2 linked regions of the Macaca mulatta genome follow. The protein of the gene in region 2 purifies or fractionates together with the protein of the main gene of each other region. This does not show direct contact. Links are inferred from orthologs where the notes say so. Each region holds a gene or a part of one and is shown on either strand. Other genes may lie near its edges.

Region 1 (15,904 bases), on a different chromosome or scaffold from region 2:
ATGGGTTAACCAGTCAGGAAGCTGTCTTGCAGAGACTTAGGTAGATGATGGGAACTGGGGTCCCAGAGTTCAGATAAGTCGGTGCAGGGCTCGTATAGGATGGATGTCTGTCTACTAAGGAGCAGAACATCAACCACCCCAAACACCTCATGTCTATGAAGGAGATGTATCTGGTTCTATGATGGATACTATGGCTCTAGATACAATGGGGATATCCAAGAATGAGAATAAAAGTTTTTTATGGTTCACAAACTTGGTTTTCCTTTCCCCGTGTTTCTGCATGTCCCGAGACCATAGTGGATGCCCAATCTTTCAGAAACATCAACAGCAGCCATTTCCTTACGGGGTTCCTATTTAACCATGCATCCTGGTCCATTTAATCAACAAAGTTGACTTGGATCAATTCCTTCCCTTAGTTATAAACACTAAGATAACAGCAAGCAGATTTCCTGAAACCAATGCTGCCATCTCACAAACACAGAGAGAAGGCACATTTACCAAGCTATGATAAAGTCAATATAGGGACAAATGCAAGAACTTGCAAAGGTGAAGGACTTTAGCTTACTAAACAGTCATAAAGGAAAAAGGAATTTTGGCACGTTGAAGGAGGTATATGTTCTGAGTTAGAGCAAAGTCCCTCCTCTTGTCCCAAAGTAGGGCTTATTGCATTACTGGGTTATTAAGTTTAAGCACCTGCTGTGCTCTGCTGGTCTTCCTTCCTGGGAGCCAAGCTGGCTGCAGAGAAGGAGCTCCTGAACAGACTAGGGCTGGATGATGGATGTGTGGTCTGCCGTCCCTGCTCAAGGGGTGGAGCTCTGGAGGGTGTCGTTGGCCTGGGTGCCCTCCTTCCCACCCCTAGGGACAGCTGGCATTGAGACAGGAGATGGGCTCTCCTCAGGCTCACGCACCACAACCAATCCAACAGCCTGTCTGGCAGCAATGGCTCCATACTCCCACAGATGCAAGACCCTGTCCCCTATCCTTTTATCTCTGCTACTCACTGAGGTGCAGGGGACAAAATCTGTTGCTCAACAGAGTTAACACAGTTTTTAGTAATCCATTTTTCCCACCTCTAACCTGGTGCCTTATAAGAAATGTCTGCTTGCATAAGGATCACAGGAAGAGCTCAAGATGGATCAGTATAGAACAAGATTGTACAAGGGGGCAGCAGCACCCTCAGCCCAATGCAGTACTTGCAATAACCCTATCCTTCCTATAGCCACAAAGGTACACCTGGAGGTGGTGAGCCTCTGATATTCATGGGCGTGTAACTGCCAGAGCTAGAAACACACCCTCTGTAAAATCCTGGTAAATGAACATGTGAACTTTTCATTCAAGAGCATTCAATAGGAGCTCACCCAACACATTAGCAGGTTTGTAACAGAAGCAGTCCATGTGTGCTCTGGTATCAGACAGCTCAGGTTCAAACCCCAGCCCCACCTCTTCTTAGCTGTGTAAACAGGGAATAGTAGTTCAACCTCTCTGGGCCTGTTTCCTCCTCTAAGAAGGATAATAATAGTATCTATTTCCTATGGTGCTGAGGATTACAAGAAATTACACGCAAAAAAAAAAAAAAAAAAAAAAAAGCACTAGAAAAGTGCCTGCTACATGATAAGCATCCCATGAGCTTTAGACTATATTTACTTGAAGGTTAATTGAACACCTGAAGGTATCTCGCACTCAGAGTGTCCAAAACTGAGTACCTTTGCCTTCTACTGCTATATCAAGGTATAACTGATAAACAAAAAATTGTATATATTTAATGTGATGAATTAAATGTGCAATAAATATGTAATAACTCATCACATAATTAATGTGCTGGGTTTGAATGTATGCAAATACATTGCATCATACAATCACAAGAACCAAGGAAAGAGACATGTCCAACACCTCCCATACTTTCCTTGTGTCCTTTTGTTTGTTTGTTTGTTTTGTGTGTGTGTATTAAGAAAACTTAATATGAGATCTACCCTCTTAATATGAGATCTACCCTCTTAATATGAGATCTACCCTCTTAAATTTTGAAGTGCACAATATAATATCATAGACTACAGGCATTACATTGTACAGCAGACCTCTAGCACTGATTTATCCCATATAACTGAAACTTTATACCCATTGAACAACAGCTCCTCATCTTCCCCACCCCTCAGCCCCTGGTAGCCACTACAGGCTGAGCATCCCAAATCTGAAAATCCAAAATCCAATATGTTCCAAAATCCAAAGCTCTTTGAGTACTGACATGACACTCAAAGGAAATGCTCATTAAAGCATTTCAGATTTCAGATTTCCAGATTTGGGATGTTCAGCCACTAATTCCAAAATCCAAAAAAATCCCCAAACTGAAATACTTCTGGTCCCAAGCATTTCAGATTATGGATACGCAATCAGTATTATATTCTTGCTCCTATGAACAAAAGCGAGTTCTTGATACAGCCCCAAAACGGCTCCTCCTTTTGTATCCTTGTCTTACTCATGGCAACTACATTCTTCTAATCATTCAGGCCCAAACGCTTGGAGTCATCTCTTCCCTTTCTCTCACTCCAAAGACTATGAGTTCTTTCTTCACCATATATCCAGAACATGCAGTGCTACCACCTTGATCCAAGATACTGCCATCTCTTGTCAGATCACTGAAACCTCCTAACTGGTTTCTTTGCTTCTGCCCTTAACACCACAAGTCAATTCTCAATGCAGCAGCCAAACTGGTCCCATTTAAATGTAAGCCAGATCACATCGAAGCTCTCTGCTCAGAAACCTGCACAATTGCTTCCCACTTCACACACAGTAAAACCCCAATAGTTTACAAATAGCTCAGAAGAATCTAAATGATCTGCCCTCTTCTTCCGCACTTCTCTGACCTCATCTCCTGCTACTCTCTTCATTTACCCTTCTCTAGCCAAACAGCCTCTTAGTTCTTCCTCAACACACTCATGCCTCCAGGCCTTTGCAATTACTATTCCCTTCACCCAGAACGTTTTCCCCCTAGACGTCTGCATAATTGGCTTTCTTATTTCTTTCTTGTCTGTACCCGAAAGTCATCTGCTCAGTGATCTCTTCCCTGGATGGAAACCTTGTTTTAAACTTCATCTTTTCCTTGATATCTCACAGCCTCCTTCCTTGCTTTTTCTACTTAACACTTATCACTATCTAATATGCCTTTTTTTTTTAATGAGACAGGGTCTTACTCTGTCCCCCAGACTGGAGTGCAGTGGCATGATCTCAGCTCACCACAGTCTCTACCTCCCAGGCCCAAATGATCCTCCCACCTCAGCCTCCATGAGTAGCTGGGACTACAGGTGCATGCCAGCACAACTGGCTAATTTTTGTATTTTTTGTAGAGATGAGGTTTTGCCATGTTGCCCAGGCTGGTCTCGAACTCTTAGGCTCAAATGATCAGACCGCCTTGGCCTCCCAGAGTACTGGGATTACAGGTGTGAGCCACTGCGCTTGGTGCTATGTCTTTTATTTATGTATTTTATAATCTATATTCTCTATTAGATATAAACCCTATGAGAGTAGGTGTTTTTGTGTGTTTGGTTCACTGCTCTCTTTCCAGGGCTTAGAATAGTGGCTGACACATAGCAGATGCTCAATAAAGATTTGTTGACTAAAATGAATTGACAGAGGGCTCAGGGCTTTCTTAAAAGATTAGGTGTCCCTGCCAACTGGAAGTCAATACAAACGCAAGACCAACCAGCCCTTAAAGTATAAGTCAACTGAAACATGTAATTATATTTACATTTTCAAATAATATTTCAGCCATCTATTATTCTACAAAGTAAAATGTACCCATATTTCCAGCTTTGATTAAAAATATAAAATACCCTTGTTTGACCTTTTGATTGAGCCACACTTCTGTCCAGCAGTAGGTCAATGAAGCATGACTGGAACACTAAACGGTGCTTCTATTCTTGGTTCAGCCTATGAGTCAGTTTCTTTTTTATTTCTCCTTCCTTTCAGTGGCCAAATAGATATATCGACAATTAATTATTGCCATGATAAATGTCAAGTTCCATGAAACTGAAAGGGTAAGTCACCACTCAGAAGATATAACATGCATCTTGAAGGAGGAAATTTGAAAAAAAAAAAAAAAAAAAAAAAAGCTTCCTTGACTAACAGTAATTCTAGAAGACAGACAAGGTAACTGAAAGCAAATGCTACTGGCAAATAAGAGGATTTACTTTCTCAAATTTTCACTTTCAGAGCTGAGAGTTTAAAAGGAAGGTAAATTTTATGCCCAAAGAATAAAATCTCAATTCCCCAAGGAAAGCTCCATTCAATCACCATGAATCACCAGTAACGGAGCTAACAGAAATCTGAAGCTGGCATTTACAGAATGGTATGTTAGTAGTGAAGCCATAAACCATCCAAAGAACTGGATTAAAAATAAAATAATGAGTCTAGTCAGTCAGTTTGGATTCTGGAGAGAAAACACTAACATTTAAGTGAGAAAACAGTGTGACAGAGAAGAAAGAGAGTTAAGAGCTTTGGATTTTGGGTAGTAAGCTCCAGTCTGGGCTTTGCCATCTAGAAGCTGTGTGACCTTTGATAAGTTACTTAACCACTCTGAACCTCAGTTTCCTAAACTATAAAACACAGGTCATAATTCCTAGAGTTGTTATAGAGATTAAACTATAAAACACAGGTCATAATTCCTAGAGTTGTTATAGAGATGAGATGAGTTAGATTGTGAAGACCTTTGACATGGTAAGCGATCAATAAATGATAGTTCCTTGCCTAGATTGTCCAGATATAAATCTAAACTGAAAGAATAGTGTAGGGAATTGTCACCACTGGACTGCTGCAGGACGAATGTCCCTGAAATATTCTGCCAACATAGGTAAGTACCTTAACTTGATCCTGAGAGTGGCCTGCAAAACAAAAGGAAACACTAAATCCAAAGATGAAGAAAAAGCCAGAAGGGAAAAATCCAACAAACGATATCATGTGTGGGCCCTGTTTTGCGGTGTGCATCACAGTAGGGAAGAAATTGTGAGTGACTGCTTTTGGAACCATCCCCTGGGTCGGGCATTTCCCAGTCTTATCCAGGCTCAGCACAATAGACTGCAATGCCATTGCTCACTGTTTTGTGACAACACACTTCTTGGTTTCCCAGGACAGAGAGGGTGGAGATGTCTTTGGTACCTGTTTGGTTTGTTTTTGCTTTTAATCACTCAAATCCACCCTCCATCCATTCATTCAATTTTCCATACATTTCATCTCTCATCATGCATTTATGAAGCATCTACTATATGAATGTGGGACATATACTGAGCATTTGAGAAGATACAGGTATAGCTATTTTACATTTAGGAGAGATTTGTAGAACTATAGGTGTCACCTATCTAATCCAACATTCCATTTGTGTGTGTGTGTGTGTGTGTGTGTGCGTGCGCACGCCTAGCACCTACTGAAGTAATACCTTATATGCATATTAATATTTACTAAGAGTTTACCATATTCCAGGTACCATGCCACATGCTCTCATGTGTTATCTTATTTGTTACAACCTCTCTGTAAACACTGTTACGACCTTTAATGAACAGATCCAAAAAAGAGGGCTGGGAGAATTTAAGGTCACATAGCTTGTAAATGGAAAAGCAGGGATCTGAATTAAGTCTCTTAATTAAGGAGTAAGAATCAGGGTTGTCCTGTTCACTGCATTACTTACACAGAGATTTAAGTGTATGATGATCTACATATCTGTTCTCTGACACAATGAAAAGAAGGCTGAGGTTGGAACAAATTGAACAATATTTCTATTTCAGGTTGTAAAAGCCATGGATGGAAATTAAAAATCAAGGACTTAATCAAGGTTCTAACTTGAGACAACCGTTCATATGCATTTACTAAGATCTGAAATATGACCTCACTGTGCCCTCCGGAAAAATGTTTTTGTAGTTAACCAGAATATCCCCTTCATTCCACAGTCACGGACACTTCAGCAACCTTTATGCAGCCAAATAAGTGCTCCCACTTGTCCTATGACTGTCAGAAAATAGAAGTGGAGTAGAAATTAGAATTCTCACATAAAAGATGAGAATTAAAGTCCTAAAACCATTAATGCAGTGGATCCATTGTGAGATCAAAGAATCTCCATGGTGTATCAGAAGAGTACTCAGTAATGAGTTCAAAAATAAGCTGTGTGACCTTAAACACCTCAGTTAACCTCTCTGAGCCAGTTTCCTCATTTCTACAATGAAGAAGATAATATCTACCTCACAGTATTTTTGTAAGATTGAACAAATATACACTATTATTACTGAATATATAAATTATATATTAAATGATATATATTATATAATGAATACATAAAATATATAATAAATATTATATAATTTACATATTCAGTTTCTTCCATGTTTATAAAATGACAGAGCTTTATATGTTGGCTTCTGGCATAAATCAGCAATGCACTTTGAAACCTTATATAGTCAGTTAGTTCCACGTTTATAAAATAATAAAGCTTTATACGTTGGCTTCTGGCATAAATCAGCAATGCACTTTAGAAAGGCATCATTGGTATCTTATCTAAAAATTTTTCCATTAAGTGGAAAGGAGTCGACAAACTAAAAGGTTTGAGGCTTCCTGCACTAAACCAGAATCCAGTTCTCAGGTTTCTGGAGTCTTGACTAGAACCCCTCCATATCATCTCCTCTAGGCAGAGCATAGATCAAAACCATTTGGGATAGTTTCAAAGGCCAAAGCTAAGATTGATGGAGTGGCTTCAGAGCAGGGTTCCAGTGCTGCACAGGGACCACGTTCGTAACAGCAGTTGCTGGACAGCCACGGGGCAAGCTTCTGAAACAGGAAGCGCCCCACGGAGAAAACTCAAGCAGAAATCTCACCTGCTGCTGCCTGATTGATCCTCCCAACATCAAAGTATTTGATTCAACACTTATCACGTGCTTTCTATAAGCTGGGCACTAGGAAAAGAATGAGTAAGATGCAGTCATCATTCCTCAAGGGCTCAAGTTGGGGAGACAGATACATAAGCAGATAATTATAAAACAATATGGTAGGTATGAAAATAGAAAAATTATAAGAGCACTGAAGGGGAGGACCTAACTCGGGAGGTGGATACAATTTAGGTGGGGAATTCTTTCTGGAGGAGGTGACACCTCAGCAGAGTCTTAAAGGATGGAGTAAGAGCAGGAAGTGAAGGATAAGATGGGGTCCGTGTAGAAAGAGAATTTGGGCAAAGGGAATCAGCATGAGCTAAGAAACAGACATCACAAACAGTCTGGTTTATGAGAGGAACTCCAGGCAGCTGGATAATGCTAGAACATAAAATATGAGGGTGGGGCATGGTGAGAAACCAGACTGGAGCAGGAGACAGGAGCTAGGCTATGGAGGGCCTCTAAACTGCATTCTGCAGTGTGAACTTTGTCCAGTAGGGGTTGGGCAGGCAACACTTTACAGATTTTAAGCACCAGAGTGACTAAGTTTCTGTGATCTTTGACTTAGGAGATTGTTTTCAGAGAGAAACTGCAGTGTGGCCTCAAAAGCTACTGAACTGGGCTTTGGGAACTCAGTGTCACTGCTGCCCTGCCTGACTCATCACTGGAGGCAAGCACTGAGTTCCTTTGGTCTCCTGCCTCTTCCTCCTGTGTGCAGGGCCTCTTGGCAACACTGACCTCACAAAAAGGTGATGTGGGCACAAGGAGACTCAGCATTAGAAAGTGCTTGGAAGCAGCCAATGGTACACATTGAGCCCTGAGCATCTTTCTGCAGTGGGGATCTTGGCAAGGAGGCAAGGCGTCAGGGAGTAGGCAGCAGGGGGGCAGGTTTGCTGCAGTGCACTGCAGGCCCAGCTGTACGTCGCACCTCCTCCTCCCTCCATCTCTCCCAATACTCTCTGGATCCTGGCTGATTTGACTTGGGGTTGAGTGGGTGGGTGTGGGAGGCCATCCACTTTGCAGGGAAAAGCATCCTGCAGTGCTCAGCCACAGTGACCATTCTGACCTCTCAGCACAGTAAGAGCTCAGGCCCCTTGTACTTTTCAGAACTACAGTACATCTTACCTCTCAAGCTGCCATTTGTAACTATTTCCGCCCTCCCTTCCCATCTTCTTTAATCTCCACAGTCCCCTTCCTCATTATCCCACCCACGGAATCCATGTTACCTGGTTCCCTTTACTTCTTTCTGGCAAACTATGCTCCTTTATGACTCACTCCTTCCCTAGTTGCATAAATGGCTCTGCCTCCCTAAGCCTTCCTTGACGGCTCCTCCCCACCTGATCCCTCCCTTCCGTGATTCCCTTTTATTCTGAGCAACTGAGTACATTAATCTATTTGTATTAGTTTACCTGTTCCAACTTCTCCATGCACAAATCCCTGAATCTGCCATGCCTTTCTCACTCCTGATGTCTGTTCCCTCTGCTTGAAATGTCCTCTTCTTTGCCTCCCTTCTAAACTCTGCCTTATCTTTCCACACAAAGCACAAATGTCATCCTGACCCTAAGGCTTGCTTCCATCACCTCAAAGACAGATTAAATCTAATAGAACTTTGTTCACCTTTATTAAATTATGGTTTTTTTGCCCGTGTCATAGCAACAGCTAGTACTCATGTGTCACACACCTGAGAACTTTGTATATAGTAACTCATTAAATCTCACAACACCCTATGCTATTATCTCCAATTTAACCTGCCCAAGTTCATAGCTAGTCAGCGGAGCAACTAGGATTTGAACCCACATAGCATGGCTCTAATCAAATGCTACACCACCTCTCCACCCAGAAAACTCCACCTGCAGATCAGGTAACCTTTGTTCTAGAACGGCACTCAGATCTCTTGGCATCCCAAATGTCTGGCACACAGCAGGAGATCACTAAATGTGTTCTGAATTTAACTGAAATTCGTTTAGCATGCATTCCCATGATTTCCTCAAACGTATGTTCTGTCTCCCCAAGCTATCCATGAGATCAAGGGAAAGGACCAGGTCATTTGTTCTCTTCACAGGCACACAATCACAGTGCAAGACAAGAGGTGGGCAACACCCTGTGAGCTCTAGGGGTACAGCTGGAGGAAAACTAATTTTGGATTTAAATGGATCTTGTGTGTGCAATTGACAACGTCTTTTTCACATACCTGATCTCAACAGGTGTTATCAACAATTGAGGTAAGTGGAAGGATGTGAGGAAGATAAGAAAACTAGGTGCAGATTGTTTGAGACCTGGCCAAGACCTCAGAGCTAGAAATATCTCAATGAGATTACAATCCACAGGCTCTGAAAAAAGCACCTGAAAGCCAGCCTCCTGTCCACTGGTGTGGTCCTGGGCAGCTGTGGTCCTCAGGAAAGGGAGAGCCGTTGGGTCAGCTCCTCCCCCAGCAGCCTGGACAGGGGTGGGAGGCTGGTGAGAGGGAAAGGGGAGCCTGGCAGGGTATTCTAGAGAGGAGATCAACTGAGCAGAGGTAAGTCAGGATGTGTTAAGAGCAAGAAAGCAGGTTCGGAAGACTCTGAGGGCTTCTCAAGTGTTTGTTCACCTTTACCAGATGGGACAGAACACCATGAGAGGTGACATGATTTCCTAGTGGTATGATAATATAGATATGAAGAGTCAGGAAAAACTGGCTTATCTTTCCATCAGTTGGAGGTAGTCATTGTTTCCCTATCATTTGTAACTATCCCATTGCGTTTCTAAAAATCTGTATCTTTATTTTATTCTAATTCAACACAACCGCAGATCGAATTTACTCAATGCCGTGTGTAGAGGAAGGATTTTCAGGCTAGGATAAGCTCTGCAGTAGAGAAGCTTTACTTAGTAGAAAAGACAGTGAATTTCTAGACAAAAGACCTGCCCCATCTTATTAACTGGGTGGTCTTCCGCAAGTCTCTTCGACGCCCTGGGTTAATCTCCTCTTCTGTAAAATGGGGATGAAAATGCCCACCTACCCACCTCCAAATGAGTGCTATGACAGTAACTTGCACGAAGGCCTGTGAGCGCCCAGCGTAGGCTTTCTGCGAATCTGAACGGTCTCCAGGGTCTCTGTCTCACGCTCTTCACTATTCAGGAATGAAACACTGCGGATGTCTGCTCAGAAATGTAGGGAGAACCTCCTCCCACAGGGGACCTCCCGCCCCTGCAACTCATGAAGTGAAGTGAAGGCTCGCAGATCGCCAGGCTCTTATTGTAGCCTCGACAGAGGGCGAGGCAGGCTAAACTCCGGGGACGCAACGGGGTGGATCTGGAACCCGAGTTTCTTGGCCCAAGGCATCGAAGGCGTAGGGATTGCTGTTCCCGGCCCGGCCCCTCGCGGTAGCCGCAAAGCGCCCCTGGGGGCAAGTCCAGCGGCACGGTCCCCGGCTCGGGAACCACCTCGCTTACCTGCGGCTCCACCAACCATCGCTGCTCGGCGCCGCCGGGCGCAGGGCGCGGGGCGCGGAACGCGGAGTACACGGGGATGCGGTCCCGAGTGCTGTAGAGGGTGGCGAAGCGCTCAGCGCCCTCCGCGCGCTGACAGATCTTCACGTGGGAATCGGTCGCCAGCCCCGCAGGCGGGGTCCCGGCGTAGAAGAACTTGTCACATTCGCCAAAGCCGGCTTCCTCCTCGCCCACGAGCCGGCCTTCCAGCAGCCTAGCCAGGGCGAGGAGGCTGCCCAGCGCGAACCAGCGCGCAGTGCCCATGGCGGCCTCTGCGAGCGCGGCGGGGCCGAGCGGCTAGGCTGCCGCGGCGCGAGCTCTGCGGGCTGGGCGGTGAGCGCGCGACGCAGCCTAGCAGGGTAGGGAAGGGAAGTCGGAACCCAGGCGCCGCGCTCTGCGGAGCCGGGCGGGGCAACCCGGGCGGCGGGGGCGGATCCGCGTCCGGAGGCCGCGCCCCTCTCCCTGAAGATGGCTGCAGAGGCCCAGGGCCGGGCACCGCGTTGCTGACAATGTCCCCTGGGCTGCGCCCGGGACTGGAGAAGCGGGTCACCTGCCGCCGCGCCGCCTGGTCTCAGCAGTCCGCGGGGACGCGCGCTACCAAGAGTGGAGAATCCGAGTGGGGCAGGCCTAGTCCAGGGACTGGGAAGAGATAGTCGCATGGACTGGGCGCCAAGAAGCTTGCTGATCGCGCGCGCCCCACGGCAGCCCTGGGGATGCAGACGGGTGGCGTGAGATGCTCACGGAGCTGCAGCTGGTTCGGAGTGGATGGGCAGAGTTCCCCTCTGAAATCTTATGAAGATCCTTCTCCCACTCTCCACCGAAGTGCTCAACGGCCAGCACACGCATACAATTTTCTTGCAGTATTTTGTTTTGTTTTTGAGCTCACCAGAAACTCAGAGAGTAAAGAAATACTGTTAAAGGAAGTTCCTGAACTGGGCAGACAGTACAACCCTGTGTGGTTTTCTCGGTGCAAGGGTTAGAAACAAAACCGATACCAAGCAAGGAAGGAGGCCAGCCAACGTCACTGGTCAACAGGTTGGCCAATTCTTTCCTTCATTTATCCCTCTGAATGCCTAGGTGCCAGCCTGAGATAGGCACTGGATTACCACAGGGGTAAACAAGAACAGGGCCCCTGCGGTCACAAAGACAGCCTAGTGGGAAAGCTTGTCACTCACCGAGGAAACATGCTATTAAAGGGATAACTAAAAACTGAACGCAGATCTGTGAGACCCTGACAGCTGCAGGGGTTCAGGATGTAATCCGGGAAGGTTTGCCTGAAGAAATGGCATCCGAGCTGAGACCTGAAGGATGACATTAGGCAAGGAGGAAAACCATGTGCTAAGTGGTCTCCCACAGAAAGAAACATGATGTGTTGGAGGAATTTAAGGAAAGCTAGTGTGGGTAAAGAGCAGAGAACTGCGTGGGGATGATGGGAAGTGGAGCTAAAGGAGGAGGCAAGGGTCGTATTACTCAGGGTATTACAGGCCAGAGGCCTTCAAACACTTTTTGAGAAGGCCCATAATGAGAAAAGTTTCATGAAATAATTCTTATGCTTATGATTGGCATTACAATTTCATATTTCTGTTCTACTTCACTGTTTTAAAAAAGTGCTGGTCTTGACCCACTAAATTGTTTCTATGAGCCAGTAATGGTTCATGACCTGCAGTTTGCAGAAAAATATTATAAATCATGTTGAGGATTTTCATCTTTTAAAGGTGGTGACTCTATCCTTTTCGCTCTCAGGGTGAGACTGGTAGATTGAAGTGGCCCAGAATAAATGGGTGGCTCACACCTGTAACCCCAGCACTTTGGGAGGCTGAGGCAGGCGAATCACCTGAGATCGGGAGTTCGAGACCAGCCTGCCCAACATGGTGAAACCTTTCTCTACTAAAAACACAAAAAATTAGCTGGGTGTAGTGGCAGGCCCCTGTAATCCCAGCTGCTCGGGTAGCAGAGTCAGGAGAATAGCTTGAACCCGGGAGGCGGAGGTTGCAGTGAGCTGAGATCACACCGCGGCACTCCAGCCTGGACAACAGAGCCAGACTCTGTCTCAAAAAAAAAAAAGAAAAAAGAAAAAGAAAAACACCCCACAATTGCCACAATCCAGATGAGAGATGGTAGCTTGGACTAGGATGGTAGGATGGTGGCAGCAGAGATAGGGTCAGGGCAGCTCCCCAGGGCCAAGGCCTGTACTCATCTTACGATGTCATCTGTTTCTCCAGTGTGCCACTACAGGGACTGAGGACACAGCCTGTTGATGCTTGCCTAAGCTGGCACAGCCAGTGAGTCCTGAGGCAGATTTGAAACAGGTCTCTGATTCCCAAGCCTGGCCTTTTCTTTTAACTCACAGCACATCTGTAAAATGAGGCCATAAAGAAGGAAGCTATTCAAGAGATTATACGTTGGAACTTAAGAACAAATTTCTTACAGGTTTTAATGCCGAAAATGTTGACTATGTTTGGTCCCAGAAATGAAACCAAAGTTTGTATCTTAGTTTTTAGAAAAAGGAGGGGACACATTTAGTGTAATGTCACAGAAGAGGCTAGACTTGAAGTCCCCTTTGATCTGGATGATGACTCTGATCATCTGGTACTAGTATCTCAGTCATCTCATCCTTGTAGGCTTCAATCAAGTCCTCCCACAGGGATGATGCTGGGAGGATTATAGGTTTTATAGGATTTTAAAAATATTTACATTATTTTATAAGGTTGAGTATAGGGTTCCCCAGTGTTGACTTATGATGTCAATCATAAAGATATATAAACACAGTTGAACAACTAGAAATCAATCCCTCTCTTCTCTGAGTTCTTTGAATATGTATCTGTTATGATACTTATCATGGTAGAGTGTTAATGATCCCTGTATCTGTCTTCTTTATTAAATCATGTACTCCTAGGGACAAAGGTGGTTGGTGGATCCCAGTGGCTACCACAAAATCCGGAGTGATTAGATGCCAAGTATGATTATGTTGTATTTTACCAATGCGGAAAGTATAATACATTGTTGGCCTTTATGACTAAAGTATGTATAGACTTTAATTCACTTTCTCAAAATTTCTTGATCCCTGCCCTCCACCTTTGATAAGCATAAATATCTCCGCCACTCAGTCCCCGTGGCAGAGTCTAGTTTTTCCCCCAGCCCTCTGTCAGTGACTGACACACGTTATAACACTGAACATTTGTACATCCCACAGCCAGGATGATTTCGTTTACTTTATGTTCTTTAGTTTATAGTACAAGACAATAGATTTTTCTTCCGTGTGCTTGTCTTCCACAGATAAAATATTACTTTTGCAAATTACAAATGTTCTCACCCCAAGATTCTGGAACAAACTACAAGGTAGGGAGGGGTGACTTGATCTAATTAACACATTTGCTAACTGCTGATTCTAGGGGAAAACTGTCTTAAGCAACATCTGTATGTGTAAAACTTGTAGGTCCATCAATAATTCACTGCTGTCTCTACATTTGGTCACTGACTCTCTTCTCAAAGGAAAAGAGGTTTCAAACCAGATCCTCTTAGGTCTCTGCACTCAGACCCAGCCAAAGCTAACAACGTTCCACAGCCTTCAGCAAAGGCTTGAGGATGAAACGTAATGGCTGATGTGGAATAAAACATTTGACATGCGCTTCTGTGGTTTGGTTGGTTCTGTCCAAAGTTATTTAAAAATATGAGCCCAACTAGACACTTCTTTCCCCTGCCTCACTGCTCTGATGATAATTGCATCCCTACCGTCACACCTTTGACCAAGCCATCCTCATTTGTCATGCCCGGTTTTTATTCCATCATCCCTTCTAATCCACTCTCCAGCTAGGATGACTTCCTAACATAAATCTGATGATGTCACCCTACACTTACAGCACTTTAATCACTCTCCATTTGCCTTGGGATGCAGCCAGACATACTAGCTGACTTCCATGACCCCAGAGACCTGGCCTTTCCCTCCCAGGCCTCATCTTTCTCCACTCCCACCTTGCCCACATGCTCAGCTTCTTGTGTTTCCATGAATGCACAATGTTCTCTCTTTTGTTTTGTTTTTGAGACAGGGTCTCTCTCTGTCACTTAGGCTGGAGTGCAATGGTGCAATCACAGCTCATTGCAGCCTCAACCTCATGGGTTCAATCGATCCCCTCACTTCACCCTCCTTAGTAGCTGCAGCTACAAGTGTAGCCACCACATCGGCTGATTTTTATATTGTTTGTAAAGACAGGGTTTTGCTATATTGCCCAGGCTGGTCTGGAACTCCTGAGCTCAAGCGATCCACCTGCCTTGGCCTTCCAAAGTGCTGGGATTAGAGATTTGAGCCACTGAACTCAGCCTGATGCTCTCTCTAGTCTTTGAAAATTTGCATCATAAACTACTTCCCTTGTCCTGAAATTCTCACCACCTATTCTCATCCCTTTACTCATTTCATCTAGCTTAGCTTTTTTTTTTTTATCCCAACAATCTAGCTAACCATCACTTCCTCAATCACTCACCTTCCTGACAAGCATGTCCTCAATTTCACTCCCTCCACCCCTCTATGAGGTTAAGAGCCCCTTCTAATTATGCCTATTAAGCCAGTAACCCCATTTAATAACTGCTACCTTTCCCCTTAGTCATGAGCATAGTGCCTACTATAGAGTAAGCATCTAATACAGTGAGTGAGTAGATGAGTGAAAGAATAAAACCTTCTTTATGAAACTTCATTTGGGTTTTCATTGCTCTAATTCATTCATTCATCCTCAGAATGTTTTTTGAACATCTACCATGAGCCAGCAATGGCGATGCTGGGTGTTTAGGGGAAGCAAAGTTTAGCCTAGTTCCTGCTCTCCTGGCATTCATGCCAGCACCTCTCAGTGCCATGTGGGCAACCAGAAGAGAAAACACAAGCTAACCAATTATTGGCAAGTGGCTTTGCCTTAGACTAGGACAGAGCAAAGCAGAGGAATCTTCATGCAGCTGGTGAGTTCTGTAACATTGAGTTCATGCTAGACCCATCTTCATTCCACTGCAAGACTGACACAGACCTTGGCATCACAGAACTTGAAGTATGGTAGGGAGGACAGACAGACAAGCAATTACAATACAGCGTGAGAAATGCTCTGATAAGGGAAGTACTGTGTGTTATGTTGCAGAGAAGTATAATTTAGGAAGAGCAGCTCTGGAAAGACAATGGGAATGGTGGAAAATCATACTTAATTATGAGATATGTGGAAACATGGTTCACAAACTAGAATAACAATTAATTTTTAGGCCCCTAAAGCTACTTGTTTGGCTCTCCTCTCTTGTCTCTCTAGCACGTATAAGGAATTGGCAAATGAGGAAGCTAATCCAGTTTAGGTTACCAGGAAAGGTGAGGAAGCTGAGGAGTAGTTCCTATTGGGGTTAAAATGCCTGATTTATTTTTCTAATAATGACCAAATCAAAGACAGCCTGCCTGGCTGAACCCATGTGTGGGCAACAGACAGTGTTTTACTGAGTCAAGAGACTTGCTGATGCATAAGCAGCAGAAGGTTGAGTCATGTTTACCTGAAATGTGGGCAGAGCTGTCTTCT
Region 2 (15,890 bases):
TCCCATCTCCCAGCCAAAGGGGTGGGTCAGGGAGCCTCACTGGATGGGTGGGAGAGCAGGACTCTGAAGACTGGCACCCAGGGATTCTGATGCCTGGTGCTGAATCCTTCTCATGGCCCAACTCACAGCCCTGCTGTCCAGCCACTGCTGTGGGCCCCCACCATGGGTAGAGACCACGTGAGGGGCCCAGTACTCACTGTAGGAGTACCTCGTCTCCTTCTTCACCTGCCCATCCTCAGTGTACTCCCTGCAGGGAAAGCAAGGCAGCCATGGGGGTTAGCCTCGTCGCCCTGGACGGTCTAACCTCTAAGCATCTGAGCCAGAAGCAACCTCAGGGCTACCAGATGCAGACTCCCCAGATGGGGGCAGATGCCTTCTCTACATCAGCCCCAAGATAGGGCACTCCCTCCTGACAGCCAGCCAGCTCCCGCCCTCGAAGGCGCTGCCTGGAGGAAAGCGCGCTCCCATCCTGAGCTGAAATCTACCCCCACTGGCCTTACACCACCAAGGGGCCCAGCTCTGCCCTTTGGGCTCAGAGATCTGGTTGCACCCTCTGCTCCGGGACAGCCCTGCGGGGGCTCCTGAAGCTGCCCTTCTCCTGCTCCTCCCGCCACCTCCCCACCCATCGGTCACAGTCCATGTGATTCAGGTGGGGCTCCAGGTGACCCCAGCCCTGGTCAATGAGAACCTGCCCCGGGACTCCTGTCAGAAATGATAAGTTGTAAGTGGAGAGAAGATGGGACCAACACAGCTGATGGGAAGGCGGAACACAGAGAGATGCAGTGGGGTCTCGGGGGTGACATGCTGATCCCATGACAGTGTTTCACGCCTGCTCCAAGTCATGCTTCAAGCTTGTGCATCTCTGGAACTTCCCAGATGTGGGAGTGACTCGATCCCCTTTTCCTCTTGGAGCCACTCTTCACTGGGTTGTTGCCACTTCCAAATCACTGGCTATTAATTTGGGGATAATTTCACACTTTTCTGATAGGAAGATGTTATCCTTGAATTTCAAAGGCATCAAAATGAAAGGTATCTGCATGTTATCCTGACACCTACACCTCACTCCTCCTTTACCCCAACAGAGTTTTCAGCCCCTGGCGCCTCACCTGGACTCCTCAGTTTCTACCCACTGGTACATCTCCACGTGCCTCCGCAGTTTCACAGCCGGAAGATGAACCCCATAGTTTGGATCAGACAAAAGCTTCAAACAGAATCAAAGAAACCAAAAAAATAAAAGATAAGATTCATGTCAGCCCAGAAAGCCTGGCTGAGGGGAAGCTGGACTGGAAGAGGAAGAAATAGAGAAGGGGACAAGGGTGGAGAGCCCTAGGCTGCTTTGCAGGGGAGGATCAAGGACACTGCCTATCCCAAGTTCTTCACACATAGCGCCCGTGACCCTCACAGTACAGGCCTGGGCTGCATGGCCCAATGGCATGGTGCCAACAGCGTACAGGGTGTTCAAATAACACGAAAGCTCTGGTGCCCAGGGTTGTTTTGTGGCTTTGCACTGGTCACACACGGTCATCACAATCATGAGAGCACCTCCTTGAGTGCCACCCTCTGTATCAAGATGTTAGTTATCTCATCTCACCAAATCCTCAAGGCTGGCCACAAGCTTGTTACTATTACCATCCCCATTTTATACATGAAGACACTGAGACTCAGGATAGACAAGTCCACACAGCTGCTGAGCGGTGGAGTCGGGAATCACACTCACGTGTGACCATCTCCAAGGCCCATGCTTTCAAATCCTCAGCCAGACAACATCCAGGATGAGCCCCGAGCCACTGGCAGGTCAGCATCCCCTGCCAAGCCTACCTTGGATGTCCGCAGGGCGCCAATGATATGCACCAGCCTTCCTTCATTCTCTGGCGCCACACTGTGGATGCTGTCAGGGGACACGACAAGCGAGAGCCCCTCGGCCAACGAGGTTGCCGTCTTCAACGCACGGCCCTGGGAGCAAAGGGGAGTGGGAATTTCAACAACTCAGGGGTGGCTCAACATGACTGTGCTTGTTGCAAAGTATCAGGGTAGGATGGGGCCTCAGGGAGCACTGAGACCCATCTCCCCACTGTACAGTTGGAAAACTGAGGTCTAGCAAGTGGAGAGTAAGGACTGGAACCCAGATTCCTGCTTTCCCAGGCAGACTTCTTCCCACTGCCCCACTGGTTCCCACTAGCCCCCACCAGTCTTAGCACTGCCCCAGTGGTGAGAACAGCTGGCGTTTCTGCTTGCCTGTCTCTTTCTCCCCATTTTTCTCTGCCTTCTTTTTCTTAATTTTATTTTTATGTTTAAATTTTTTGTAGATATGGGGTCTTGCTATGTTGCCCAGGTTGCTTTTGAACTTCTGGCCTCAAGCAATCCTCCCTCCTTGGCCTCCCGAAGTGCTGGGGTTATAGGCCTGAGCCACCATGCCTGGCTCTCCTCTCCCCTACTCAGTCCATGTGGTTTACCTAGGTAGATCTGAACCCCTGTTCAAATCATGTGACCCAGACCTTGCCAATCAGAACATGTGAGTGACCCCTGGCCACGGAGACTGATTCAGAGGACTGACAGCCAAGCCAGGACACTGAGAGATTGCCCTGTAACTGTTGCTAAATTGATTTAGAAATATGCTGTTGCATCATGAGGTCTTATTTTAAAAAAAGGAAAAAAAGAAAGAGAGAGGAGAGAGAGACAGAGAGAGAGGAGAGAGAGAGAGAGAAAAAAAAAGAGAAAAAGAAAGAAAGAAGAGAGAGAGGAAGGAAGGAAAGAAGGGAGGAAGGGAGGGAAGGGAAAGAAGGGATGGAAGGGAAGGAAGGGAAGGAAGATAAACAAATGGTTTTTCTCTTCCCTGGGCTAAGTGGGGGAGGAAGGGAGGGAAGGGAAAGAAGGGATGGAAGGGAAGGAAGGGAAGGAAGATAAACAAATGGTTTTTCTCTTCCCTGGGCTAAGTGGTTGGATGTAAGCCAGTTGCTGGGGCCACATTTACCATCACAGAGGAAGTGCCTGCCCAAGAAATACACCATAATAGAGAAAAACAGGCTAAAGATGAAGAAATGGAGACTCCTGGTGACCCAGCATGAACACCTGGATCCAACTACGCCTGAGGCAGGTGCTAAGCCCTGGATTTTCGGGTGTGTGAACTGATCTACTCCTTTTCCTGCTCACATCAGCTGTGGGATGCATCACAATGCAAAGAACTGTGATTAACTCAGTATCCTTCTTTCTCTTTTGTAAAATCTAGGCCCTTTATTACCAGCCTCTGGGTTCATAGCCTTTGCTCTCTGACATGGTAGGGACTCTCACTCTGCACAGGAAGACGCCAGACATTTTACCTCATTGGTGAAAATTAGGTAGAAGGAGAGCAGGAAGGTCATGAGCCCCACGACCATCCCACCCGAGGTCTCGCTCAGCCGCTCCAGGAAGCCTGGCTGGGAGCCGGTTGTAACTTTGACATGTTCTCTCCGGGTACTGGTACTGGAATACTGAAGAAAAAGAAACATAGTCACAGAAGGAAAATTAGTTTTTTAAAAATAAATGAAATTTGCTATTTATTTATACTCAGTTTTTTTTGTTTTGTTTTTAGTTTTAACTGTATGTGGTAAAAACACACAGATACTCAATGTGCAGTTTGGCTAGGTACAAAATATTTCCATCTCCCCAAAAAGTTTCTTTGTGCCCCTTTCCTGCCAACTCTCCCCCTCTCCACCAACCAGAGGTAACTGGTAGGGATGGGGAGAATCTGAATTTGAATTTCTCCCACTGTAGATTAGTTTTGTTTCTTCTAGAACTTGAGAAAAATGGAATCAGGGCACCAACTCCTTTCTGCCCAGCTTCTTGGACTCAGAGCACTGCTTTTGCAATTCGTCCACGTTGTGGTGTTTATCAGGAGTTTGTTCCTTTTCAGGGCTGAGTAGTATTCCATTTATGACTATACCACAATGTGCTGAATCATTCGTCAGTGGATGGGTATCTTGGCAGCTTCCAGGTTTTGGCTATTATGAATAACGCTGCTGTGAACATTCATACATGAACCTTTATGCAGACGTGTGCTTTCATCTCCTGTAGGAATATACCTAGGAGTACAACTGCTGGCTCACAGAGAAGATGTGTGTTTATGAAACTGCCAGGCTATTTTACAAAGAGGTTATTAGAGAGGTATTTTTAATTAAATTCAGCAAACAGTGGCTGAGCTTTCTGAGGGCAGTGCTAGCCCTTGTGGGGTCAGAAGTAGACAGTCTTAGGGCAGTGAGGTCACAACCATAAACAATACTAGAAGGTCATACAGAGTGTCTTGTGAGAGGGGTGGACTCAGTGCTCAAGGAGTGACCCCTTCCAGCTGGGGTATCAAGGCAGGCTCCCTGGAGGAGGGGGCATTTGAGTGGAATCTTAGAGACAGACCTTAGGGGAAGAGCATCCCTAAAGGGAGAACCATGTCAGCAGTGATGAAGAAGTAGGAAGTGGTCCTGGGGGAGCAGCTGCCTATCTGCTTTGGCTGGGTTGTGGGAGGGATGGAGGAAGAAAGGGCTTGGAGCTAGGCATTTCTGGGCAGGTTCACAGTGGGCCTCAAACTCAAGGGTGAGTGGATCAGGCTTTGGTCAATAACACAGGCATGATTTGGGGTGCATCCACTGCTGATCAAAAGCGTCATCGTCTAGGGCAGGATTCTGGAGCCAGAAGAACTGGGTTTGAATCTATGCTGTGCCACACACCAGCTACAGGGTCTTGGGCAAAAGCAATTTCACCACTTTGTGCTTTCCATTTCCTCTGTGCATAGGGTTGTGGTGAGAAGCAAAGAACATAGTTATTGGGGGGCTCAGGGCCGAGGCCTTGGTAAGCACTCTACACATGTTAGCTAGTGGGAATGTTACCAGATTTCTCTACAACTGATAGTGGGCTGGCACCAGGCTGGGAGTGAGCTGACAAAAGTCACAAAGATATAAAGTGGGGCCCAGCTAAGACAGTGCCCCATCCTGGCACTAGGGGCCAGAGGAGTGATTTGAGTCAGAGTCTCTGCTTGGACAAAGCTGATGTCACGTTCTGATTGTCTTTGAATATCACCAGCCAAGGCCTCCAGTGACCAGATGTCCATGAATCCAGAAGTCATCTTGACTTTCTATACCATTTGGAAACATTAAGGGAGGGAATCACCACAGGCAGGCAGGTGACCATCATAATGATGACAATGGCAAACACGCCGGTCTATCACAGGCCAGCCCACACGCAAGCCCAAAGAGCTGGATGCCATAACCACCCCATTTCACTGATAAGAAAATCGGGCTTGGGTTAAGTCATCTTCCCAGATCACACAGTTTCTAAGAGGAAGAGTTAGGATTCACATCTGGGCAGACTGGAGACTACTCTCCTATTACTCATTCCAGTCTGTGCTCCCCAGCTCTTGGGCTACAATGTGAGTTGAATGTTGGGTGCCGGCTGCAGGCAGCAACAGGAAAAGGAGGCGTGGCTTCCTCTTGGGCGTCCCCTCAGCCAGCATCAAGATAAGGGGCTCAAAGACAGCCTTGGAGGGAAGGAAGAGAGGTACAGGAGGGTGCCCCTCAGGCTAGGGGAGGGATGAGGTAGGCAGTGACATGACATACCCAGCCCACATTCTGAACCAAAATTCCCAGTAAACATGGAGGATCATAAAGGATCTATATATACACACATATTTATATATACATATATATTACATGTATACACACAAATGTAAACACACACACACACAGACATCCCCAGTGACACATCCCCTCCCAGTCCCAGCACTCAGGACTCAGAAGAAATGAGCAATGAGTGGTGGGAACAGAGGCTGACACATAAGCCCTGGAAATGAACAGAACTGGGTTCGATGCCCAGGTTCACCAATCACTTGCTGTGAAGCCTGGGTAAATTGCTCTACCTCTCTGATTCTGTTTACTCACTTATAAAGTAGAGAGGGGAATAGTACCTTCACCATCGGTACTGCTGCTGCTATACTGATTGAGAATTCTGTTGCCTCCCTACTCCATCCCACTATCTTCTTCCTCACCCAGCCTAGTGGCTGCTGTAAATGTATACCCAGCTACTGGATGAATCAACAAATGCTTGGCAGCAGAGGATACTCAAATGCATGTATGTTCCTTGGTGAGGGGCCAGGTCTCAATGTACCCAAGACGATCTCTATTCACTGGGACCATCTGTGCTCCCCTCTGCAATGACAGGCTAGTTTTCAAGTATTAGGTACCTACGACACACCAGGCACTGTGCTAAGCAGTCTCCCTTAAATGTCACAGTAACTGATCCATGAGGCTACATAAACCTGGAGAGATGAAAGCCACACATCTACTGGGTGGAAGAATCTGGATTGCCCCCAGGTCTCCCTAACTCCAAAGCCTGCCCTTTGCAGCATGCCAAGCTGGCCACAAGAGTTTGGGCAGGTGCCTTCCCCTGCTGGGGAAGTTCACCATCTGTAAAATATGGTGGTGGTGGTGATGGGAGCAGACAGAGTCCACATACTACAAACAGGCTGGTCTCCTGTCTGCCCTCTCTCCTGGCCGAGCCTGAGTCTCTCGGAATACCTCTGAGGCCTTTCTAGGTACACCATTCAAGGCTTCTAACCCTCCTGTGGGCCCAAAGTGTCCTGGGAGTGTAGATGATACTAACCCGAGACAGAGTGTACTAGGACTGTGGGTGATGCACACCCTGGCCTCTCAAGGGGTGTGGGAGGCAGAGAGGACGCTTGGGGACAGAGGCGGCGTCTGGAAATAGGGTGTGACAGGCAAGGGGAGAGCTGCTAGGACACTCTACCAAAGCAGGAGGGAGGGTGTGTCTGGGGCTGGCTGGGCTCCTAAGCAGGCCCTAGAAGCACTTTCACAGAGGAGGGGAGAAGTGAGTCACCAGCTTCTCCCACATCCAGCGCCCTGGTAGGAGGCGCTGCTTGGTGTGCTGAATGAATGTTGGGCTTAAATAGTTTCCCGAGAAAGGCTAGTTGCAGGGAGAAGAGGCCTTGAAGGAACAGCCCTCAGCCAGGCCTTCTCCAACCAAATCCTTGCTAGGAGGAGGAGGGGCCCCGACAGTAGAGAAATGCTCCCTCTCCCCCTAACTCCTTCGCTCCCAGCCCAGCCTAAGCTTTTTGCAGCATCACAGCCTCGGTTTACACAGCCTCCCTAGAGCGGGGAGCTCTCTGCCCGCCTGGACAGCCCTATCCGTCCATTGCTGGACAGCTCCACTTGGGCTGGGTCGCCTTCCTCCCTCCCAAGGGAATGGCCCCCTCTCTGAGCTCCCGTCCAGCTCTCATAATGCGCAACCTTGGGACGGCTTCAGGGCCCCAAGATACAGGAGGGAACTAGGAATGCAAGGAGGAGCCGCGGAGAGGCGTACAAGCAGATCGTAGTGCGGGAGCAACACCTCCGAGTCCGCCTCCGCACGAACGCCGAGGACTAGGCGGACCAAAGAACACGGACAAAAGAAGTCTGGACGGTTCGAGAGATTAACAGAGGGATGAGCTGGCGAAGGCACCGACACGGCGCGCAGAGGGAGATGCGGGCCCAGCCGCAGGGAGGAGCTCCAGACGGCGAAACGGACCCAGAGGGCCCCGGGGAAGAGCCCCAGGGCGACGGAGAAGCCTGGGTGTGGCCCGGCTGGCCAGGGGACACTCACATTCGCGGCCATGGTGGGACCCGGCTCGCTGCCGCCGCCTCGCGCTGTTCAGCTAGGAAGTGGGCTGACGACTGGAGCGCGGAGTCCAGCGGCCTCTTGCCAGCCCCAGCTTCGAAAATCCGCGTGGACTCCAAGACCAGGCGGGACTTACTGCAGTTACCGCCCCGTGTGCCCAGTGTTTCTGCGCATGCGCACGGCGAGACCTGGAAACGGGTCAGGGACATTACAGTACCTCATTGATGCGCCTGCGCACTGCAAAGCTTTCTGGGAAATGTAGTTTCTACTGCCTGGCGAGCTGCTGTGGGGCTCGCGACCTGCTGGGAAATGTAGTTTCCGGCTGAGGTGGGCCTGGCCGCGGTTAAGAGGGCGCCGAGGCAGGCGCGCGGCGGGCAGGCCTGGAGGGGGCGGGTCCGCGCGGGCTTCGGAGGCGCCCGCCCTGCCTGAGGAGAGGAGGTCACGGCGTAAAGCTGCAGCTACCGCCACTGCCGCTTCTGCAAGGTCTCAGGGACGGGCTGCAGCCATGTCCTATTGCCGGCAGGAAGGTAGGGAGGGCGGGCTGCCATGGAGACCGGCCTACGAGGGCCTGCGGGAGACACGCGGGCCCCGGCGCCCCGCTACCACGCCGCAGGCGCGGGCCACCCGAGGCGCGGCCCGGTTGCCCACCCTGGGACACTCGGAGGCGGGCAGGCTGGGGGGTCGCCACTCGTGTTTTGCGAATGAGAAAACCGAAGCTCTCGGGGGAACGGGACTGGTCCAAGGTCACAGTGAAGCCCGAACCCTGACCTCAGAGGGGCCTGTGCGTGGGAAGTCGTAAACTAGGCCGGGTTGGGGCACGGGAAATGCCGAGCACGTTGCGTGTGGCTCGTAACTGGGAATGTATGTTAATTATTACTACCGCTCCTGCCATACCCCACGTGTTGCCATTTTGCACGCGCCTTTAAAAGGCGGGTCCCGAAAAGTTGCTACTGGGGGTAGCGTGTGCTGTGCTGGGGTGCTAGGAGTTGTGCTAGGAGTTCTACTAACGGGAATGTTTTTGAGCCCCCTGCTACCTATCAGGCACTGTTCAAGGAAACTTACGTGGCTTGTCTCATTGATCTCGCTGCGCCCTTTGTAAGTCAGACTCTGTTACTGGTCACATTTTACTGAAGAGTAAAGTCTGACACAGGAGACTTGGCTAAAGCCACTCAGCCAGCAAATCGTGGAACCGGGGTTTGAGCCTGGGCATTGTGACCCCAGAACAGCCTTTTCCAATCTAGTGCCCAGTGGATTGCAGGGAGAACCCTGCCTACCTCCCACCCCAAAGTTGAGCTCCAACCACCTAATGCTTCCTTGATGTTACTCTACCCAAGAGCTCAGAAGTACCCAAGCCACAGGTCGGAGGGCCTCCCCACACACTGCCACAAACTGACTCCTTGGCCCTAAGCTCCTACCTAACCCCTCCAGGCCCTGGTTTCCAGTGTTGTAAAATGAGATGTTGGGCTTCACTGATACAGCAAATATTCATGAAGCATCTTCTCTGCTCCAGAGAAGGGGGATGGATGGTTATAAAGCTACAGAGAGAGTTGGAAGTCACCCAGAAATTCTTTGGTGAATACTCCAGCTCCATCAGTTAATTCAAGCAATCTGAAGCCCAGAGAAGGAGGTGGCCTACCTTAGTTACACATCCAGTTAGGAGCATAGCTCAGCCTAAAATGCTGAGCCTTTTCCCTAGTAGCCCTGTCTGCTTCTAGAACCTCTCCTCCTCTGGGTTGTAAAGCCATAAGACTCACTCTTTAATGAGTACTATTATATTTCCGCTGATTACTACTTAATGTGTGCCGTAAGCAAAAGTCCTCTGCCCTCACCACTGTTGTTTTTAATTTCAAGTCTCTCTCTAATTTACTTCATTTAGCAAATAATTTTTGAGCCTTTGGGTATAATGAGGCTGTGCTGATAAACAAAACCCTCCTTCTCTTTGAGGATTTACAGGAGGCAGTTTTCTCTGGAAAGGGAGGCTAGGTCCATCTGCCTTCAAAACATGGAGCCCTTGGCTGGGCGCGGTGGCTCAAGCCTGTAATCCCAGCACTTTGGGAGGCCGAGACGGGCGGATCACGAGGTCAGGAGATCAAGACCATCCTGGCTAACACCGTGAAACCCCGTCTCTACTAAAAATACAAAAAACTAGCCGGGCGAGGTGGCGGGCGCCTGTAGTCCCAGCTACTCCGGAGGCTGAGGCAGGAGAATGGCATAAACCCGGGAGGCGGAGCTTGCAGTGAGCTGAGATCCGGCCACTGCACTCCAGCCCGGGCTACAGAGCAAGACTCCGTCTCAAAAAAAAAAAAAAAAACATGGAGCCCTTATCTTTTCCTGGTTCAAAGATCTCTCTTAGGAGATGAGTGAGAATTGAAAGCACTCACTTATAGGCCTTCCTTAGTATTTTTCTTATCCATACCACTGTCCCCCTAAGAAGTCCCTAACATTTTTTTTTTTTTTTTTTTTTTGCTCACTGATCCTTTATGCTTCCCATAGGATTTTTAAAAAAAATGATCCCAAACTCCTTACCGTATCAGAGCTTATGTGATCTGGCCCTGTCTGCCTTTCCAGCCTGGTCTCTTCCCACCTTTTTGTTGCCCAGCCTCTAACCTCTTCGCTATACCCTTGGTTTGGTAGATCCTGCCTTCACCTCTTCCATGGCTGACTCCTCATCCTTTAAAATTTAGCCTCCTGACCCTTTGTGTCTTTCACATCCTGAACTCTCTGAAATTACCTTTTTTATTTTTTGCCATCTTCCTGCCTGTCTTCTCCCACTAAGCTGAGAGCATCAGATGGGCTGTGGAATCCCCAGCATCTGGCACAGGGCCTGGTGTACAATGGGTGCCCAAATCTTTATTGAATCATGCGTGTACCTGCCCTCTGTCCTGAGTGAATCACTTGCCTGTGCAAGTTTATTTCAGGGGTCCACCTGCTACCCAGCCTTCAGGTTAAACTCCTTGGTTTGGCATTCGAGGGCTCTCATCCTGGCTCCCTGGCCTTGGGCTAGCCACACTTCTGTGTGTCAGCACCATAGTGTTTCTTTCTTAGTTTCCTCTTTCTAATGCAGAGCCTGCCCACTCGTGTTTAGTCAACATTTATAAAGCACATGTGACGTGCCAGCCATTGGGCATATAGTGGTGAGCAATGTGACACATTCTCTGCCTTCCTGGCATGGTGGAAGAGATTGCCATTAAAACATCACCAGACCAATGCATGATTACAGACTGTCATAAGTGACATGAAGGGAAAGCCCAGCATGCTATGATCATTTAGTGAACGGCTCTGTGGGGTCTGAGAAGGCTTCCTGAGGCTTCAGAGATCCTTTTAAATGCCAGTTTTCTTAAGAAAACCTTTTGCAGTCCTCAATGTGTGTGAGCGAACACTACTTAAAACCCTCCTTTTGCACTCCAGGCTTTGCCCAGGATGGTCCCTTCTGGAATGTCTATTCCCTCCTTCCCTCCCTGAAGTTCTTTGTCAGGGACAAAGGTAGGATCCCTCCCCTTCCGTCTTCTCCACTGGATGCCTGTGTCGTATTCATCTGTGACCACCAGGTACTACCACAGAGCTGGAGCTAAGGAAGGTTTGTTGAGCTAAACTTCTAACACTTGCATTCTTCTTACACTCTGTCTGAAAGCTATTTGTGTGTTCTTCACAGATACTTGATTCTGTACGCGGGAGTTATATCTTTCAAAGGGGTTAGATTCTAAACATGAAAGTCCTCAGCAGTCAGATTTATCAAACTCTTAGAAACCCCTTACTTTACTCACTCAAAATATACCACAGGCACCACTCCCTCTGGCTTTAGATCTCTTTCTTGGGTTGAGTGTCAGAAAGTAGTGGTTGGAATTGTATCACAGGTGTATTGAATCAGCTTAGCCAAAAATGAAAGAAGACAAGTCCGTAGTGCAGGTTGCCATTCTCAAACATGATCCTGGTGAGTCAGCATCCATGGGAGACAAGAAACTGCTTCCTCTGCAGGACACACGGGCATTCCTTCTGGAGTGGATATGCTGAGAGATTCTTGCCTGTAAAGATCTTCCCCTTTCATGGGGGAAATCAAACTACTCATCCAAGGGATTTTTTGGTCTTGCTCACTTAATGGTGATAACCATTCTGTCTTCCTGCTTTCTGCTGGGACTGGGTGACAGAGCAGGAGTAGCGTCATCTCGGACAAACACTGGCACTTTAAGTTCCAGCTCCCTTTCTAGCCTCATGCATTTCAAGGAAATCACTTCTAACTACAAGCAGCCAGGAAGAGCAGACAGTAAAACACAGATAAGACACCTCGGTCATAGAGGGAGGTGGGGGAAAGTCTCTTGGGTAACTGCCAAACTTCACCCTCATACAGTGGACCCCAGTAAAACTGTGGGCCTTAATAAGAACATTCCTTTCCCTTCAGGTGCACTAAGATAGGGAAGCTAAAAGCAGTCCTGGGGGGGATATGCCTGCAGCTGCAGAAAGATGTGTGGAAACAGACATACAACTCTGCCTCCCAGATGAGCACAATAAAGAGACACAGAAGCAGTCCAAGCCTCTGATAAACTCTCTCACCCTGAATCCTTAAAAACTCTTAGTCTGTAAGAGAATGTGGCTCTGACCTAACTCAGCCAGCAGCCCACCTCAGGTTTGTTTAAAATAAACCTGTCCCTGTTGACTGAAAAGCCACCGTTCGTGTTTCTCTCCTCTTTCTTTAATTCTTACACTAGGGTCTTCATGCCGTAATCCAGAGTTGTTTCTCCATTCACTTTTTTCAACAAAGATTGAACACCCACTTTGTCATTGGCACTATTCTGGGCTCTCAGGATACTGCAATGAACAGAATAGACAAAAATCGCTGCCTCTGAGGAGCTGACATTCCAGTGGGGGCATCAAGTGGTAAACATACATAGTATGTTGGGTGAAGAAAAGCACTTTGGAGAAAGATAAAAAAGCAGGATAAGGGAGATGGGCAGTGGTCAGGGACGGTGGCATGTGAGCAGGAAGTGAAAGCAGGGAGAAATCGCTGTGAGGGTACCTGAGGGAAGGGAAAGTGCTCGTGGAGGACAGAATACCCTGTGCAAAAGCCAGAGGTAGGCATGTGCTCAGCATGTTCAAGTAAAAGCAGAGGTCAGCATGGCTGGAGTGGAGGGAATGATGGTGGGAGATGGGGTCCAAGAGGTGAGAGATGCAGCTCTTTCTGGATATATTTGAAGATCGAGCCATTCTAATATGCTGATGGAGATGTGAGAGAAAGACGGGTTGGGGTGGCTCTACCAAAAGTAAAACTAAACAGCTGAGGGTGGAAGGTGTCTTGGTATCCGACTGCTCAGTCAGTTCTGTTCTCAGCCCCACCCTGAAGTCCTGTTCACAGAGTAACCCCTCGGGCCTCCAGTTCCCCACTCTGACCAAGGTTCTGGGGTGGGGACTGAGTTGATTCTGGGGGACCTCCTCCTTGTGCACTTTGGGTTCAGCTTTCTTCACTGGTTAAGTCAGAGAGCACTCGACCATCAACTCTCCCATTTCCAAGATATTATTGACATCTCTGAGCCTGTGATTGTCTCTTTTCCTGGCCACGTACCCTTTAAAACTTACTGTTGAGTGGGATTCTAGCTAACAGCAGAAACACATTTCACCTCCCCAACCATGTGAGGTAGGTCAGTGAAGCTGGTGGTAAGGCCTGGTTTCTGAGGCCCAGAGGGTACCTGAGCTCACACAGTGGGAAGTGCTTAAGTCCAGCTTTGAACTCCAGTTCTCAGACTCTCTGTGATATTGAAGCCACTGTGAGCCAGAAGGTTTAACATAGTTATCCACCTCCTTCAGAACATGCATATTCAACTGCTTTTAAAGCTTATCTTAGAAATAAAAACACAAGCACTTTTAATTTTATTTTTCTGGAGAAATTGCTGAGAAATGTCATAAGAACTACTTGTCTAGCTGATTGTCCCACTGGTTGGCATCTTATGACTAGTCTGACCAGTTCTTTCTTTCACACTTAGATTTGTTAGGAATAGGTAAGCCTTGTCCTTGCATCGGTTCTTGAATTGAGTTTTAAATGTTCCAGAAAGCAGAGGCCCTCCAGGACAGGCATGCAATGGACAGTTTGCAGGAGACACACTCTGGATCTTTCAGACCAGAGTTCCTGTTCTGCCTTCATTTACTGCATGTCTTTTGGTCCGTTTCTCAGCTCCTGTGGTTTCTGTAAAATGGAGATAAAGTAATACCCACCAGTGAACTCACAGATATAATAAAACACATTGCATGGGACAAAAATGTATAAAAGATGCAGCTATTACTGTTCTACCTTCAATCCAGTGTGAACTGTGCTGCAAGGGAAAATGTCCAGGAAGGCACATGTGAGGACTTGGCCCAGTGGTAGGGACCTGGAATTCTCAGTGGGATTGTGCTAGGCTGGTGTTTCCTAACCTGGCTGTGTATCAGTCACCTGTGAAGCCCGTGAGCTACATGGATGTGGCAGAGAGCTCGATTCAGCTTTTCTTGGGTGAGGCCTGGTCTCTCTATGTATGGCAAACCCCAGGAAGGCCTCATACTTTACCACATTTGGACCTTTTGCTTTGTGTGCCTATGGCTGGGCCTCACCATTGGGCTGTGCTGAGCTGCCATCTTGGTCAACAAAACTGCCAGAGCTGAGTTGCGAAATTTGCATCAGCTCATTGTACTTAGCGTTCACCATTTTTACAGATTGCTTTTGAGTATTTTGGAAACTGGCCAGAATTACCAAGATTACTAGGTACTTTAACAAGTCCTGGCTGCCTGGTCCAAAAGCTTTCCCAAGTCAGCCACAGGGGAAAAGCAGTCTTCTGTTGGATGACATGCAAGGTGTTGTGGCAGAGACCATCTCTGGGAGCAGAAACCTCCAGTGTGTTGGGGGTCCTGGCCCTGTGTGTGCTGAGGTTTTTTTGTTGTTACTCTGTCCTAGCGTAAGAGACCCTGTGCAGTGTGGGCATGGCGTAAGGCACCAAAGTGCCCTCCCTCTGTCCCCTGAACTGTCCTTCTCACTGGAGATGTCGCTCAGTTTTTGTTGTCACTGCCCCCTGCCTTCCAGAAGCCTCTTCCTTAATTACATCAGTCCAAGCATGGGCCCAAGCCTTTTTCCTTGCTTTCCCCTCAGCATACCTGTGACCAAACTTTTCTAAATATAAAGAGAAAACAAAAAGTATAAAGTAATCAGAGATGCCTGCAGCTTTCACAGAGCCACGTTTCTGCAGGTCAGGCCTCTGTGCCCACAGTAGCCGCTCACTCAGAGCCACGCACTTTTGGCCATAGCTGAAGAAGTCTTCTTAAATGCATAGCACCTCCTATCCCCTTCCAGATGAGGGTCCCTGTACCCCAGATCTCCTGGGATCAGAACGCATGGTCAGTTGCTCTGTAGAATTTGTCATTCATCTTCACCAGGAAGGTACAAGAAAGATCTTGTTTGTTTACTTGGCAAACATTTCACTTGATTCTAAGCTTTTTGAGGCAGGGGTTGGGTCAGATTTTATTGTGTTTATTCATTGCCCAAGGTGCACAAGCTCTCAGGCAGTGCCTAGTCATGCTAAGTGCTTAGTGTCAGCTATCATTATTCTTGTGCAGATGTTGGTGCGGGGCAGTATGGGTGTGTAGAAAGGATCTCCAACAGTGTAGACTTCAAAGAATCCTGTCCTGTGTGGCCCAGCAAGTCACTACTCAGAGCCTCAGGCTCACCACCATTAAAAGGGGGTGCTGCCACCTCCCTCTCAGGGTGGCGATAGGATGGAGGAATGAACTCACACGGAGGACCAAGAGATGGACTGGCTCTGTCTGTTCTCTGGGTACTGCTGGAGAAACTGATGATCCACCATGCAGCGTGGGGTACTGAGGACAAGGTGCTTCTTGCCCACAATGAGAATATCTGACGCATACCTGTGGTGTGGTTAGCTGATGGCCGAAGTTTTTAGGAAGGTGAGGTAAAGTGTTGACAGCTACAAGGTGTAGTGGAGAGGGCTGTAAGGACCTACCTTCTGCTTACATAGCCACTCAGCCTTGGTTTTCTCCTGTACTCGATGGGGGCTGAGCGTGATAATACTTCATAGGGGGTCACTGTAAGGCAGTTAATGCACCCACCCTGGTTTGGCCAGGACTGATATGCTTTTCTGTGCTCACCCAGCCTCCAGTGAGGAGAAGCTCCTAATATAAAATGCATTTGACTCTCACTGGTCTGTTTTCCTGTAGTCCTCAGACCTTCCGGCAGCCAGGCCCCAGGGTGAGGGCTTTGGTTTTGAACAAGGTGCTCTGCACTTTAG

What was found.
Region 1: the proteins of TMEM43 (region 2) and ENDOD1 purify together in Homo sapiens (affinity purification with mass spectrometry; 3 studies listed by BioGRID and IntAct, with this or other methods). This does not show direct contact. The link is inferred for Macaca mulatta from reciprocal best matches to the Homo sapiens genes TMEM43 and ENDOD1.

The regions. Positions count from the first base shown.
Region 1 is NC_133419.1:95,903,361-95,919,264, reverse strand, and holds the start of ENDOD1 (endonuclease domain-containing 1 protein precursor), read right to left. Parts: upstream 10,745-15,904; 5' UTR 10,632-10,744; coding exon 10,332-10,631; intron 1-10,331. UniProt on the Homo sapiens protein: May act as a DNase and a RNase. Plays a role in the modulation of innate immune signaling through the cGAS-STING pathway by interacting with RNF26.
Region 2 is NC_133407.1:152,919,755-152,935,644, reverse strand, and holds the start of TMEM43 (transmembrane protein 43), read right to left. Parts: upstream 7,801-15,890; 5' UTR 7,630-7,800; coding exon 7,618-7,629; intron 3,468-7,617; coding exon 3,318-3,467; intron 1,954-3,317; coding exon 1,819-1,953; intron 1,237-1,818; exon of another isoform or gene 1,202-1,236; coding exon 1,107-1,201; exon of another isoform or gene 1,083-1,106; intron 248-1,082; coding exon 198-247; intron 1-197. Other genes in the region: CHCHD4 (mitochondrial intermembrane space import and assembly protein 40), read left to right, coding at 11,149-11,209. UniProt on the Homo sapiens protein: May have an important role in maintaining nuclear envelope structure by organizing protein complexes at the inner nuclear membrane. Required for retaining emerin at the inner nuclear membrane.